3 linked regions of the Arabidopsis thaliana genome follow. The protein of the gene in region 3 interacts with the protein of the main gene of each other region in a pairwise test. Each region holds a gene or a part of one and is shown on either strand. Other genes may lie near its edges.

Region 1 (4,649 bases), on a different chromosome or scaffold from region 3:
TCAGCCCTTCAAATTCTGTCTTGAAAGATGATGTTGAACTTGAGTTCTCTGATGTGTTTGGTCCACTCCCCGAAGAGGCCAATGATATTGCTTACGACGAGCCTGCTGTTGTCTACAGTCGATCCCACTCCTTGGTTGGCCCGTGTTCGCTCGATAGTCATTCTTTGAAGCTGACCAAGCTCACCTTACTAGAGACTGAGGACTCAATTGACTTGGTGGAGTGTCTCGAAGGTGAATCTTTAAAAGAAAATGATGATTTCTCTGGTAATGACGACAGTGACAATGAGAAAGCTTTAGAGGGAGATCTGGTGAAAGTCTCAGGTGTAGTAGGCATAGATGATTTTGAGGTTATGAAGGTTGTTGGGAAAGGTGCGTTTGGGAAAGTCTACCAGGTGAGGAAAAAGGAGACCTCTGAGATATACGCTATGAAAGTCATGAGGAAAGATCACATTATGGAGAAGAACCATGCTGAATACATGAAAGCTGAGCGCGATATTCTTACAAAAATTGATCACCCATTCATTGTTCAACTTAAATACTCTTTTCAGGTATATATAACACTTCTCTCTGTTAGCATCCTATTTATTTTACTTTACTATTTCTTAACTTAGAGCGTTATACATTCCCTTGCAGACCAAGTACAGGCTGTATCTTGTGCTCGACTTTATAAACGGAGGTCATCTTTTCTTCCAACTCTATCACCAAGGGCTTTTCAGGTTTGTTTAATTCCTTTTTGCGAACCATTTTTGAAGTTTCGCTAGAATTTTGTAAAGCTTAATTGGTTCTATATTTTACTCTTTCGCAGAGAGGACTTGGCTCGAGTGTACACTGCAGAAATCGTCTCTGCAGTTTCCCATCTCCATGAGAAAGGCATAATGCACAGAGATCTGAAACCCGAAAACATACTCATGGATACAGATGGCCACGTGATGCTAACAGATTTTGGTTTAGCAAAGGAATTTGAAGAAAACACAAGATCAAACTCCATGTGCGGAACTACGGAGTATATGGCACCTGAAATTGTTCGAGGAAAAGGACATGATAAAGCAGCTGACTGGTGGAGCGTAGGGATTCTTCTGTATGAGATGCTCACAGGAAAGGTAAAAGCCGCTATCTATTGTTAATTTGCTTGAAGCCTCATGTCTTGGTATATTGTTGTGTGATGTCTTGTTTTCCTTCTGCAGCCACCGTTTCTCGGGAGCAAAGGAAAGATACAGCAGAAAATTGTGAAGGACAAGATCAAGCTTCCGCAGTTTCTGTCTAATGAAGCTCATGCAATACTGAAAGGGGTAAGTAAATGTTGGTGCAGTTTGATTACAGAATCAACAGTAAACATGAAAATCTTTGTGCAGTTAAGAACTATGAAGCATTGTATTTAGAACAATTCTGACTCTTGACTTTGTAATGAATGTATAGCTGCTGCAAAAAGAGCCAGAAAGGCGACTTGGAAGTGGACTGAGCGGAGCAGAGGAGATAAAACAGCACAAATGGTTCAAGGGAATAAACTGGAAGAAGCTGGAGGCTAGAGAAGTGATGCCAAGTTTCAAGCCGGAAGTATCGGGAAGGCAATGCATAGCAAATTTTGACAAGTGTTGGACTGACATGTCTGTTTTGGATTCTCCGGCGAGCAGTCCCAGTTCGGATCCTAAGGCCAACCCTTTTACCAATTTCACTTACGTCAGGCCTCCTCCTTCATTCCTTCACCAGTCCACAACTACTTTGTAGATTTACTATATTTTTATGTAGTTCCTACTTCTTTGGTTGTTGTTTCCTTCTGACACATGAACATTAAAGAAAACTTTGGTTACCAAGACGCTTAATTTATAATTGATTTTATGAGATTGTTATTGATTGAGATTAAGTAGAGCAGCTAACACTTTGACCTTTTGACCCACGATGTAATATAAAAGAACGTTGAAAACGTGTAAATATAAAAGATGATAACGGTGATGCCTTTGGACCGAACTAGTGTCCGTCTGAACGTCTTGTAATGTAATGGGCTTAAAGAATTCCGGCCCACTAAAACAAAGAAGAAGTTCGGTTTCCCAATAGAACACGAACACGTGTCCTCACCCCATGATCCACGATGCTTCGGAAGACATAAAAAATGTAGCCACGCGCCTTCTTAAAACCTTTTCCTTTTTTGGTTTGGCACATTACCCTCTTTCCTGTTAAAGTTGTCTCGTCTCCTTCTCGTCTCCTTCCTCAAGCATATTCTCTGGTAATTCCTCTCTCTCTGTCTCTCTTTGACTTTTCTCTCGCAGAGTTTAGATTCTTTTTTTTTCTGGATATAAATTATTTACACGACACGAAACCTTCTAGGTCCAGGTCATAGTTTTACTCTATATCTGGATTTGTTTGAAAATTGCTTGTGTTATGCGCCAGCTTTTTCCCTAATATATAGACTAGGTCTTAATTACAGATATTAGAGTTCGTTTCCTCGAGGGTTTCTTTCGACCTCGTGTCCTGGTGAAATTTTGGAATTCTAAGGCTTTGGGGTTTTATTTGGGAGGGGATGATCATCTAAAGGATATTCGGTCGGTGTCGTGTTTTCTTAATCTCAATTCTGTTGACTTTAGCTTTGGTAATTGAAAAAGAATCTTTTCGCTTGCTTATTTTAATTCCATATCCGTCTCTTATTATATTTGGTCAATTATGTGATCTGATCTTTGTGAAATTTTATGAACTGCAGCGCTTAAAGTACTTTGATGGCATTGGGACACTTGTGCAGCATCCACTGTTTCCTTAAAATAGGGAAACAAGAAGAGCTTCTTGTCCTAGATATTGGTTTGCCTATTCCCAGTTTCTTCCTCATTAACTTTATTGGTAGCAGAGCCTCATCCATCTGGTGAACTTGTGAAGCTTCCTCTGTGATTCTTTTGGCGATTGGTTAGAAATATGGTTTCTTCTCAGTGTTCTGTTGCAAACAAAAACCAGACTGGGAAGCCGTTTCAGAAACATCTATCTTTATCCATCAGCCCTCCAAAATCTGTCTTGGGTGATAACCTTGAGCTTCAATTCTCTGATGTCTTTGGACCAATGCCTGAAGCTAACTCTGAAGAGGCCTGTGATGTTGCTTACGACGAGCCTGCTGTTGTCTACAGTCGATCCCACTCATTGGTTGGCCCGTCTTTGGTTGTTAGCCATTCTTTGAAGATGAACAAGCTCACTTTACGAGAAACTGAGGACTCAGTTGACTTGGTGGAGTGTGTTGAAGGTGAATCGATAAAAGAGAACGATGAATTCTCTGGTAATGATGACACTGACAGTGAGAAATCTCCAGAGGAGGTCTCAGGTGTAGTAGGCATTGAGGACTTTGAGGTATTGAAGGTTGTGGGACAAGGTGCATTTGGAAAAGTGTACCAGGTGAGGAAAAAAGACACGTCTGAGATATACGCGATGAAGGTCATGAGAAAAGATAAAATTGTTGAGAAGAATCATGCTGAATACATGAAAGCCGAGCGCGATATTCTAACCAAAATCGATCATCCTTTCATTGTGCAACTTAAATACTCTTTTCAGGTAAAAGCCAACTTCTCTCTGTTTGCATCCTATTGGTTTTTCTCAAGTACTTCCTAACTTAGTGTTTTACATTCTTCTTGCAGACCAAATACAGATTGTATCTTGTTCTTGACTTTATAAACGGAGGTCATCTTTTCTTCCAGCTCTATCACCAAGGGCTTTTCAGGTTTGGCTTTATTCCTTTTGAACTAGTTTTGGAGTTTCACCAGAATTCTGCGAGGCTTGACTAAATCATATGTTATGTTTTTCACAGGGAGGACTTGGCTCGTGTGTACACTGCAGAAATCGTCTCTGCAGTTTCCCATCTCCATGAGAAAGGCATAATGCATAGAGATCTTAAACCTGAAAACATACTCATGGACGTAGATGGCCATGTGATGTTAACTGATTTTGGTTTAGCAAAAGAATTTGAAGAAAACACAAGATCAAACTCCATGTGTGGGACTACGGAGTATATGGCCCCTGAGATTGTTCGTGGAAAAGGACATGATAAGGCTGCCGACTGGTGGAGTGTAGGAATCCTTCTGTATGAGATGCTCACTGGAAAGGTAAAATGTCTTCTTCTTTTTTTGGTTCCATAGTAGCCTAATGTCTAAGGTGATCATTGAAACTGTGTTGTGACACCATTTGTTTTACCTTCTGCAGCCGCCGTTTCTCGGGAGCAAAGGAAAGATACAGCAGAAAATCGTTAAGGACAAGATCAAGCTTCCACAGTTTCTGTCTAATGAAGCTCATGCCTTGCTGAAAGGGGTAAGTAAACAAACATGAGGAATTATTTTGAATCTTTGTGTACTATGAAGCATATTGGGTTTAGACCAGTGTGATTCTGACTTTGTAATGAATTTTATAGCTGCTGCAAAAAGAGCCAGAAAGGAGACTGGGAAGTGGACCGAGCGGAGCAGAGGAGATAAAAAAACACAAATGGTTCAAGGCGATAAACTGGAAGAAGCTGGAGGCTAGAGAAGTACAACCAAGTTTCAAGCCGGCGGTTTCGGGAAGACAATGCATAGCTAATTTTGACAAGTGTTGGACTGACATGTCTGTTTTGGATTCTCCAGCAAGTAGTCCCAACTCTGATGCTAAGGCGAACCCTTTTACAAACTTCACATACGTCAGGCCTCCTCATT
Region 2 (4,649 bases), on a different chromosome or scaffold from region 3:
TGATAGGTACTAACCAAGGCTGTCAGAGGAAAATAGTCGAAGAGGTCTGTAAAGATTTTCCAAACATTTGCGTTGCCGTACCTAAAAAGGAAAACATGGTTTGTTAAATTTATTGCAAAATCTATATCCCAAATAAGCTGCAAACTAGGATGTGTAAGATTATACAACATAGAACAATACTATAAGCAAGTAATCATAAGCCCAAAGGATTAACAGAAACAGGAAGTAAAGAAAGAAAAGACAATTTTGGACAGGCTACCATACACACATACAATGCAACAGCAAAAATATAAGGACAATAGTAATGCTAATAATAATTAAAAAAATTGTTTAAATGCATTAGAAAATAAGGATTTTTTTTCCAGTATAAGGATTTTTTCCAGGAGACTCACTTTCGTAGACATTCATCATAAAATCCATAAACCTGAGTAATCTGCGAGATGGAAGAAAAAGAAGAAAAGCCTGTGTCAGATTAAAATAGTAATATGATAAAAAAAATGTGCACAAAACGAATTTTGTAGACAAAACAGAGACTTATAAAAAAGGAAATTGTGTGTCAACCAAGATCTCAACGATGGAAAAGACTGGATACACAATGAAGTACTGTATTTAACATCAGAAGGTGAATTTACAAGTGGAACCAGAGTAATAAAATCATAAAGCATTAGTCTACCTGACGACTTTCATGGTTTCCTCTAAGAATAGTGATTCGCTGAGGATATCGCATCTTTAAGGCGACTAACAGCTGGAAAGAGAATAAGAAAGAGAAACAGTATCAGCATACTTCATAGTCACACCCAAAATATATACATTGTAAAGAAAAAAATATCCGTCAAGTTAATGGTATCTTGTTACCAATATAAAAAGACAATGACTGGCTTGCCAATCAGCCTACTCTTAAATGAATAAAAAAAGGAAGTCTAAATATTTCATCTTCGTACCGTAACAGTTTCAACAGAATAATAACCACGGTCCACATAGTCTCCCATAAACAGGTAATTGGTATCAGGGCACTGCAAAAAAGAGAAAATTAATACTTTGTAAGATTGGTAGAGCTATTTGTAGAGCTCTGTATATTTTATAGATGTTACCATTCCCCCTATACGGAAAAGCTCTGCAAGATCATGGAACTGTCCATGAATATCACCGCAGATTGTCACAGGGCTTTTCACAGGCTGCATGCAGGAAATAGAAAGAACTAATAAATTCATGGCTAGTAGCACAATCTACCACACTGAAAATAGAATCACCAAGTGTGGTGAAAGAAATTGCTCAACCAAAGAGATATGCAAGACCAGGAACTAACCTGAACATTGCTTTCATCCATTAAGATCTCCTTGGCTTTCTCGCATAATGCTCTAACCTAAGGAAAATAAAACAATGCTGCATATGATTTTCACCTCTTTAACACTCTCAAGACATGCAGCTAATAACCACTATCAAACACATGACATAGAAATATATACTTAGAGAAATCAACTTGACACAGGCAACAAACAGGAGCATCAATTAAGAAAAAAAAAAAACCAACAAGTATTGATCAGCTATTGATACGAAAATATTAAAAATTTATCAGTCCATAAGAATCCCGATTGACATTACCAGGCACATAAAAACACGAGCTTAGATGTGATTAATCACTATGCTAAGAATCCAAATCAGCCAAAATTTAACATCAAACCATAGAAGCAAAGCCAATTCTCCAACCCATAGAACTGCGGTGACAAATGAGCTTCCGTGAGAACATACATGCCAAGATCTAATAACATTTCCTGAAGATGTTCATTTAGAAAAAAAAAAAAAAATCGAAACTTTCCAAATCAAATCTGATAATCTCGTACCCAAAGAAACCTCAAACACAGAAAAAAATACCACTCCACTCAAAAAAACAAAAAAAACAGATCCAATCATCGATAAAAACAAAGTAGAGAAAACGTCAAGGGCTAAGGTCTAAAGAGAAAGTTGTAGGCACCTGTTGCTCCGAGAGAGGCTTGCACTGCATGAGCTGCGAGATCTGCTCATCAAGATCAATGGTTGCGTCCGTCGGAATAGAATTCGCGCCCATTTTCGTTAATTCGTCTCTCGTCCGATCCGGAAAACAGATCAGGAAACAGGACTAGGTTTCCAAATTAGGGGAAGTCCTAACCCTAAATTGGATGGAATCTGCGTATTCTTCGCCTTTTTTCCCCCACTTTCTCTCTCTCTCTCTCTCTCTCTCTCTCTCTCTCTCTCTCTCTCTTCTTTGTCTCTTCGCTTTGTGTGCAGTGAAAGAAGATCGAATTTTGAGAAGGCGCGTGAGGAGAGAAGCGAGTGGTTTGTATCTTTCGAGCTCTTTCTTTTGCTATTACCATAATACCCCTCTACTTTAATTGGTGCAATAGCCATCACCGGTTTAATACTAACTTCTACGGTTTAACTGAACCGGTTTCAGCTTATATAATCGTCTCGAGAGACTTTTGCCTTCGCTTCATAAAGCTCTCTCTCTCTAGTCTCACAGTCTCGCTCTCTCTTTTTTATCTCTGTGATGGCGACGAGATTTGATACCGGTGAAAGTATTGGGTCGGGGAAAACTTCGATTTCTCGGGATGAATTTGCAGAAGACTCGCTAAAGATCGTTTCTTTGCCGCCGGTTGAGAACGACGACTCTGTTGAAGAGATGATAAGCCCAAAGAAGCAAGTAAAGTCTTCGCCTTTTACTTCTGTTTTTGAGAAGGATGGAGAAATCATCCATTCGGATTCTATTGACATTTCTTTCTCCGAAACGACTCTTGAAGAAACCGTGGCGATGAATGTGGAGTGTCCTGGAGTAGTAGTAGTCTCTGTACCTGAAAATGGTTCCACGATTCTTGAAGAGAATAAGGTTGGTGAAGAGATTAAGGAAAGCTCTGAGATTTCTACTACAGAAGGCGATCGACTTGGAGATGATGTGCTCAAGATAAAGGATGTTGTTGAGACTGATGGGTTCGTCGTATCTATCTCTGATATGAAAGAAAGTTTGAACTCGGAGAAGAAGGGACAAGATTCTGATGGTCAGAGGATTGTGGAGGCTGAGAAGATAATATTGTTCGCTGAAATCGGAGATGGTTCCACGTTTCTTGAAGAGAATAAGGAACTGCAACAGATTAAGGAAGTCTCTGAGATTTCTACAGAAAGTGATCAATTTGGAGATGATGTGTACAAGATAGAGGATGATTGCGTCGGTTCTATCTCTGATATGAAAGAAATTTTGAACTCTCAGAAGAAGGGACAAGATTCTGATGTTCAAATACTTTGGGAGACTGAGAAGAAGAATGATGGGGACACGCTCGCTAGGGCTTCTGATATCCATAAGATCGAAAAGAATGGAAATGGGTCTAAAGATCAGCGTGAGAAGGTGGAAAGAGTGAGAGTTAAGGATAATGCATTTGTTGGAAGATCTGTGAATATTGATTTGGTTGATGATACTGCGTTGTTTGATGTTGTTCCTTTCTACAAGAAAGGTAAAGATCATTCTAAGAGACCAGTAACTGCACACACTGATAAGGATGCACCAAGAAAGCATAAGAAAGTTGGAGTAGAGAAACCGATTGATAAGGGAAATGCTTCTAGCATTGTTGAAAGGAATGCGTCAACCAAAGTTTCTGACTTTCGTAACAGTGGAGAAATGAATGGGAAGCAGTTGCGGATAATGTACTCTAGGAACCAAATGGAGTCGATGAGGTATGCCCACATTGCGAATCAGAAGAAACTGTGGAGTGACTTGTATGCTAGACTCCTACCTGAGCTGGTGACTGAGTACGAAGGTTTGAAGAATCACAAGAGTATCCTCGGTAACCCTCCACTTACTTTACTTTTATCTTAGCTGCTGCATTTTGTGGTGTTGCCTGTTTTTAGTTGAACATGTTGAGGAAACTTTTAGGTCTAATAGAAATATGTCACTCCAAGTTAAGATTACTTAGCTCATGTATAACCTTAAGCTATATCTGCTGCATTTTTGTTTGTGTGTGTCACTCAAATGGCTTTTTCTTTGCTACGGTTTTATGGTGATTTCCTTCTCTAATGGTCATCTCAAAGTGACAAATCCAGTCGGGCTTAGTGTCTGCGACTCTTTCAGCAGTGGTTGTTCCTAAGTATCTTTTTGATAGGGGCCGTTTGTTTTCTTTTCCACAGGTCCCATATCGGCTGTACCAAGACGAACCCGTCTCTTTGTACATTGACCTGAAGAAATCTGTCGAAGCCTGTGTTTCATAAATCCTGTGTTCACCAATTTTTCCTTTTCTAAGAAACAATACATTCTTTCTGTATATAGATTCTTTAGTTCAGATTGTTTAAAGGGGTCTAGAGAGTTTGTTTGGTTCAAAGTGTGTATGGCCATGATTTTATCGGCTAAAAAGTTGTACATGTTCATACATCTTCAATAAAAATCAATACCTTTGAAAGCTAAATCTTTTTGATGGGCTTAGTTCTTTTCTTTGTTTTTATTGGTTTCTTCAATAGAAATCAAAACTGAGATTCCAAGAAAATGTGACTTTTTGTTTCTTCATGAGAACATTTAGGCAAGGAATTGATGACTTAACTACTTGAAGAAGACTATGTTGTAAAAGAGGAGAAAACTGAAGATAATGACGATTACAATAGCATTTTGAGGCCTGCGTTTGCTGTGGATGGAG
Region 3 (4,649 bases):
TCTAGTCTCAGCCACAAGGTGTGAGTTTCTTGTTACCTGCACCGCGAGGATTATCATCCTTCCAATCATCGAAAGCTCTAGCTTTCATCACAGCTTCTTCGTCTTCATCATCATCTTCCTCGTCTTCTTCTTTTCTTCTTAGAGGTTTATCATTGTACCATGAGGTGGTTGCTTCTTCAATGGCTTTTTTCGTCTGCTCTTGCCAATCATTCATTATGTTCATCTCTGTTAACCCAGCATCCTCTATGCACATTGTTGGCATCCTACAAAACCCAAGTTTAATCACCATTTTTAAATCTCAAAAAGGATTAAGATTTTGTAATGAGCAATATTTTGTGTCTACCTGTGACTTGGTTGGAAGACCTGAGCTATCATTCTTTCTCTCTCGGTAGAGAGCGGTCCACCCACGATGCTTGCTGGACCGAATATAAGAGGTTGGTTCTTGTGTTCGTGACCTTGTGATACCGAAGCTCTTCCTTCTAACACATCTTGTGCAAATGTGGCACAAGTGATTGGTTGTGCCGGTTTAGAGTACTGTATCCTTGCAGCAGCGTCTCTGTGCCAGGTTTCAGCTTTCTTTGTACGATCATCAAGAGCATCCCGAGAAAATCCACCCTCTCCATCCTGATCAAAATATCATAACACGTTTTCTTCTTTTATATGTTTATCAAATAGTTTTGTTCGCACCTAAAAAAACTAACACCACGGTAAGCTACCTTCAACTGTCTTTCCTTTATTGCAGAGAGCATTTCCTCTTCTCTCTTTAGCATTTCCAACAGATCAATAGCCTGTAACGAAGTTCAATCATAAGATAATGCCTCCTCAACTTGTGACAAATCATAGGGTTCTAATGAAATGATTTTTAGACAAACCTTACAAATAGCCAAGTTAATTGAGGAGAGCCAGGCCTGCAGAGGAAAGCAATAAGACAAGAAAGCTTAGAAGAAAAAATCGAATTAGAGAAAGCAGCAAAACAAAAAGTGGGACAAACCTCTCTCTCTTCTTCGCTGTCATCATCTGGAATATCATCTTCTCCAGATTCAACCGGAGTCGACAAAGCTGATGCTTTAGTGGAACGTCCACGTCGCTCCTTCCTCTCTTTAATTTCAAGAAGCTTTGCCTCTGCAGCCTTTTGACGTTTGAACCGAGCTATCTACAAAGTACCATAATCATGAAGACACAACACGCATTTCAAAATCCGAAAACTTTAAACTTCATTCTCGTCAGAACATAAACAAAAGAAACAGGGCTGAATCTACCTTGAGAGCCCTTCGATCAGCAGGTGCACCAGAACCTCCTCGTGAAGAAGCCTCCAACTCCTCATCCGGAACAAGCTCCATTGCCTCACAGAACGAAAAGAACTCCTAGACACAATAACAAAACTATACATCAATCTCAAAAAAAATCCAACCAAATGCTCATTCCCACTTGCAATAGCATCAAAGGGATACAAAAACATGTAAACACTCAGCAGAAAACTAACCTTCAACTTAGCATACGAGGCTTTGACAATCTGAATCCGGTCCTCCTGTATGATTTTCTCTGTCAACTCCGCAAGATAATAAGGCACCTATAATCACAAGACAATATAATCCCTCGTCACTTTATAGAAATGTCAACTCGCAACACAATCTTATGATCTCAACACAATCTTATGGTCTCCACACAGAGTAAGTTCAATGGAAAACGTTACAATCCAAAATCTCAGACTCCATTTTGAATTTCAGTCAGTAGCTAAAACTAGAAGCATCAGGACAAGCTAAAGTTTTTCACTTTCAGATCTTTCCACACCAAAACTAATAACAAAACTAGAATACAAACAAATTACAAAAATCCAAACAACAGAGACTCAATTGCATACCAAAAGATATTTGAGATTGTTGGTGCTAATATCTTCTTTAGTCTCGTTAGACGAAAACAGCGCCAGCTTCCCGATCATATCTTCGCACTTCTGAAACATCTCACATCCTTTCTTCACAACATCCTAACAAACCAAAGGAAAAGAATGAACTAAGCATCCCCGGAAATGTCCAATTCAGTAAAAACTCGCGATTCGGATTCGAAATACCCATTTCAGATAAACACCCTAATCGAATCTGTATATAAAAAAGAGGTAGAAGCTTCCACCTGATCAACACCAGACTCTGAAGCAGCAAGATGAATTTTCCTAGCTTGCTCGAATAGCACCGATAAAGGCATTTCCTCCATAGCCAAACCACCCATCACAGGCAACAATTCAAAATTCCTTAATGAAATCGAATCCACAAGAATCGAGTTTCTTCGAGAAGAGGATCGTCTTTTGAATTTTTTTAGGGTTCCAAATCGAAATCTGACTAATTTACCACGAGTACACACAGACAGAGGAGAGAAAATGTTAACCGCGAAGAGCTTTATAAGGGACGGTTGAGATTTTGCCGCGTCAGGTGAAGTAGATAACTCGAATTCTATTAGCCGTTAGATCTGTCCACAACCTCAAAAGTCAAAAACCGACTCAGTTGTATAAAAATATCAAGTCAAAGATCAGGTGCGGCGGGTGTAGTGTAAAACCGCCACGAATGTGATTGTGGCTATGGTATATGAATGTTTACTGTTTTTTTTCTTAATTTGAATGGAGATGAAATTTTCTTGATTTTTGTACGAGTAGGAGTATGAATAAACTAGTATCGCACCCGCTGTCTAAGCAGCCCGAATTGTCGTAGTGTTATTGATTCGATCGACCTATAGCAGTAAGGAATGGTGGATACCGATAACTAAAGCCACCTCAATCGCGGTGAATCAGCTGGATCCAAAGATTTAGGAACATCCAACAAACAATTCATGAATCGAAAACGAAGAGGTGCATTGATTGAACAGAGCTTACTATATATACTATATATGACTGTCACCCATTACAGTCTACATAGCTTGAAAGGGAAATGGATACAGAACTTAAATGTTTGACTTTCACGCATTTCACTCGACATATCTTCAAGAGGAAAATGAATTGACTGAATAAACTGTAGTATGCTATATACACAGCACAATAATCCGCATTATTTAATCTCTCACGCACACCCGCGCAGAGAACAACAGCCTCCTAAGCGACCAAAGCTAGAGGGATGCTTCAAAAGTTGACCTGAGATGAGAACTGCAAGTTGAGAGAAACTACTTGCCAGATCTAAAATAAGATAGTCATATGCGATTCATTAGGAGACTTTGGGAGTGAATGGTTCTTACTTCTTACGAGAATTGAGCCATACGGCAAGAGAAATCTCAGTTACGATGATATTGGATGGCTGGGTAAGGGTAGCGAGTGGCGACTTGGCTGAAAAAAGGTTAAATTTACGTATTGAGAAAAAATGTGAAGAGTAAAAAATTAAAGAAAGTAGTTGAGGATGTTTATGAGCAGAACCTGAGTAACCCCAAAAGACTTGTCGTCACCCATTTTTTCAAGTCAATGAAAATGCCTGCGAACTTGATCACGATTATCTGATATGAAAGAACAGAAAGAGAGTATATATGGTTTAGGGATATATAAGAAAAGACAAATGTTGTGTTCACTTGTAAAGAGGACTTACCTGAGATATGATAGTTGAGGTTATTGTAACGAGAAACATATTCTCTCTAAGGACTTCTTTGAAGGTTTGGTCTACACTTTGGATTTCAAACTCATTAAAAACCTGCGTTATTTTAGAAAGATAGAGAGATGATCAACATATGAACTCTAATTAGAAGAGTGGGAAAAAATCAGATATTACCAGGTAGAAGACAAAGGAATTGAATATCAATGTGTTCATCATTTTTTCGGCATTGCCCGTCTGACCATGCTTCAGCTTCAGTAGCTTCTCAGAATTTATGAGTACCAGCGAGAGCACTAGGTAAAATACCTGGAGGAAGGTATTTCATGACACAAGCATTATTAGAGGTCTCCAAACCAGTGTGTTTGTCTCTAATCTAAATAATTAATTAGTTTAATATCACCAAGGAATTGTATTTGCTCCTTGGAAACTATGAAGGTGTGAAATACTTAATCTGACATTAACGTCCACACATGATCAATCGAGGATTTTACCCTACATACCTGAATTATCATCTTGGACCACATCGTCTTGGTTATAAGAGGATCTCTGAAAAACAAAAAATGTACACATGCATATGTACTATCAGTTTGTGTATATTCACCTAGAACAGATAGTGTGTTTTAACAAGAATTGCAAAACCAACAGTTTCTTCAAAACCTTCAGCATCAATACATTAATGTCTCTTTCTAAGCCAACTCTATATTGACTTAATAATCAAATCTTATCCTTGATCCTATTCAGAATTTGTACCTTATACCAACCGGTGGCTTTCCCATTAGGTGGTGATCAGATCTTGGTCTGTATGCCAAAGCTAATGCTCCTAAGATGTCGATAATTAGATTAACCAACAGAAACTGCATCAGGAAAAAGCAAAAACTGGGTTAGGGAAAAGGTTTCCAATCTTGGAAAAGCTGGATAACAAGATGATGAAGTAACAAAGGGATAACATTTTGAACCTGCACGGCGTTAAGGGGAAATGCATCATAAACTACAACCTCAACCACACAGACAGCCAATGCTGATACACTGACAGTGAGGCGGAATAGGATAGATTTCTGGACATTGTTGTACAGAGATCGAGACCATATG

The links.
Region 1: the proteins of TAP46 (region 3) and S6K2 come close enough for resonance energy transfer, tested with the Arabidopsis thaliana proteins (one study listed by BioGRID).
Region 2: the proteins of TAP46 (region 3) and PP2A-3 interact in a two-hybrid assay, tested with the Arabidopsis thaliana proteins (one study listed by BioGRID).

The regions. Positions count from the first base shown.
Region 1 is NC_003074.8:2,648,657-2,653,305, reverse strand, and holds the start of S6K2 (serine/threonine protein kinase 2), read left to right. Parts: upstream 1-2,074; 5' UTR 2,075-2,584; intron 2,585-2,692; 5' UTR 2,693-2,898; coding exon 2,899-3,522; intron 3,523-3,605; coding exon 3,606-3,688; intron 3,689-3,775; coding exon 3,776-4,070; intron 4,071-4,167; coding exon 4,168-4,272; intron 4,273-4,372; coding exon 4,373-4,649. Other genes in the region: PK1 (protein-serine kinase 1), read left to right, coding at 1-548, 634-716, 806-1,100, 1,185-1,289, 1,417-1,725. UniProt on the Arabidopsis thaliana protein: Downstream effector of TOR signaling pathway. May be involved in adaptation of plant to cold or high-salt conditions. Mediates the phosphorylation of MRFs (e.g. MRF1).
Region 2 is NC_003071.7:17,699,162-17,703,810, forward strand, and holds the start of PP2A-3 (protein phosphatase 2A-3), read right to left. Parts: upstream 2,257-4,649; 5' UTR 2,066-2,256; coding exon 1,973-2,065; intron 1,364-1,972; coding exon 1,307-1,363; intron 1,176-1,306; coding exon 1,092-1,175; intron 1,037-1,091; coding exon of another isoform or gene 1,014-1,036; coding exon 942-1,013; intron 746-941; coding exon 674-745; intron 434-673; coding exon 393-433; intron 82-392; coding exon 15-81; coding exon of another isoform or gene 1-14. Other genes in the region: AT2G42510 (survival motor neuron interacting protein), read left to right, coding at 2,525-3,782, 4,150-4,179, 4,566-4,649. UniProt on the Arabidopsis thaliana protein: Functions redundantly with PP2A4, and is involved in establishing auxin gradients, apical-basal axis of polarity and root and shoot apical meristem during embryogenesis.
Region 3 is NC_003076.8:21,485,647-21,490,295, forward strand, and holds the start of TAP46 (2A phosphatase associated protein of 46 kD), read right to left. Parts: upstream 2,397-4,649; 5' UTR 2,224-2,396; coding exon 2,128-2,223; intron 1,985-2,127; coding exon 1,862-1,984; intron 1,571-1,861; coding exon 1,484-1,570; intron 1,365-1,483; coding exon 1,260-1,364; intron 1,154-1,259; coding exon 992-1,153; intron 909-991; coding exon 873-908; intron 789-872; coding exon 717-788; intron 625-716; coding exon 344-624; intron 264-343; coding exon 8-263; 3' UTR 1-7. Other genes in the region: AT5G53010 (calcium-transporting ATPase), read right to left, coding at 3,253-3,304, 3,392-3,468, 3,558-3,659, 3,738-3,866, 4,061-4,106, 4,311-4,414, 4,517-4,649. UniProt on the Arabidopsis thaliana protein: Involved in the positive regulation of the TOR signaling pathway. Acts as a negative regulator of PP2A catalytic activity. Plays a positive role in the ABA-regulated inhibition of germination, probably throught its interaction with ABI5.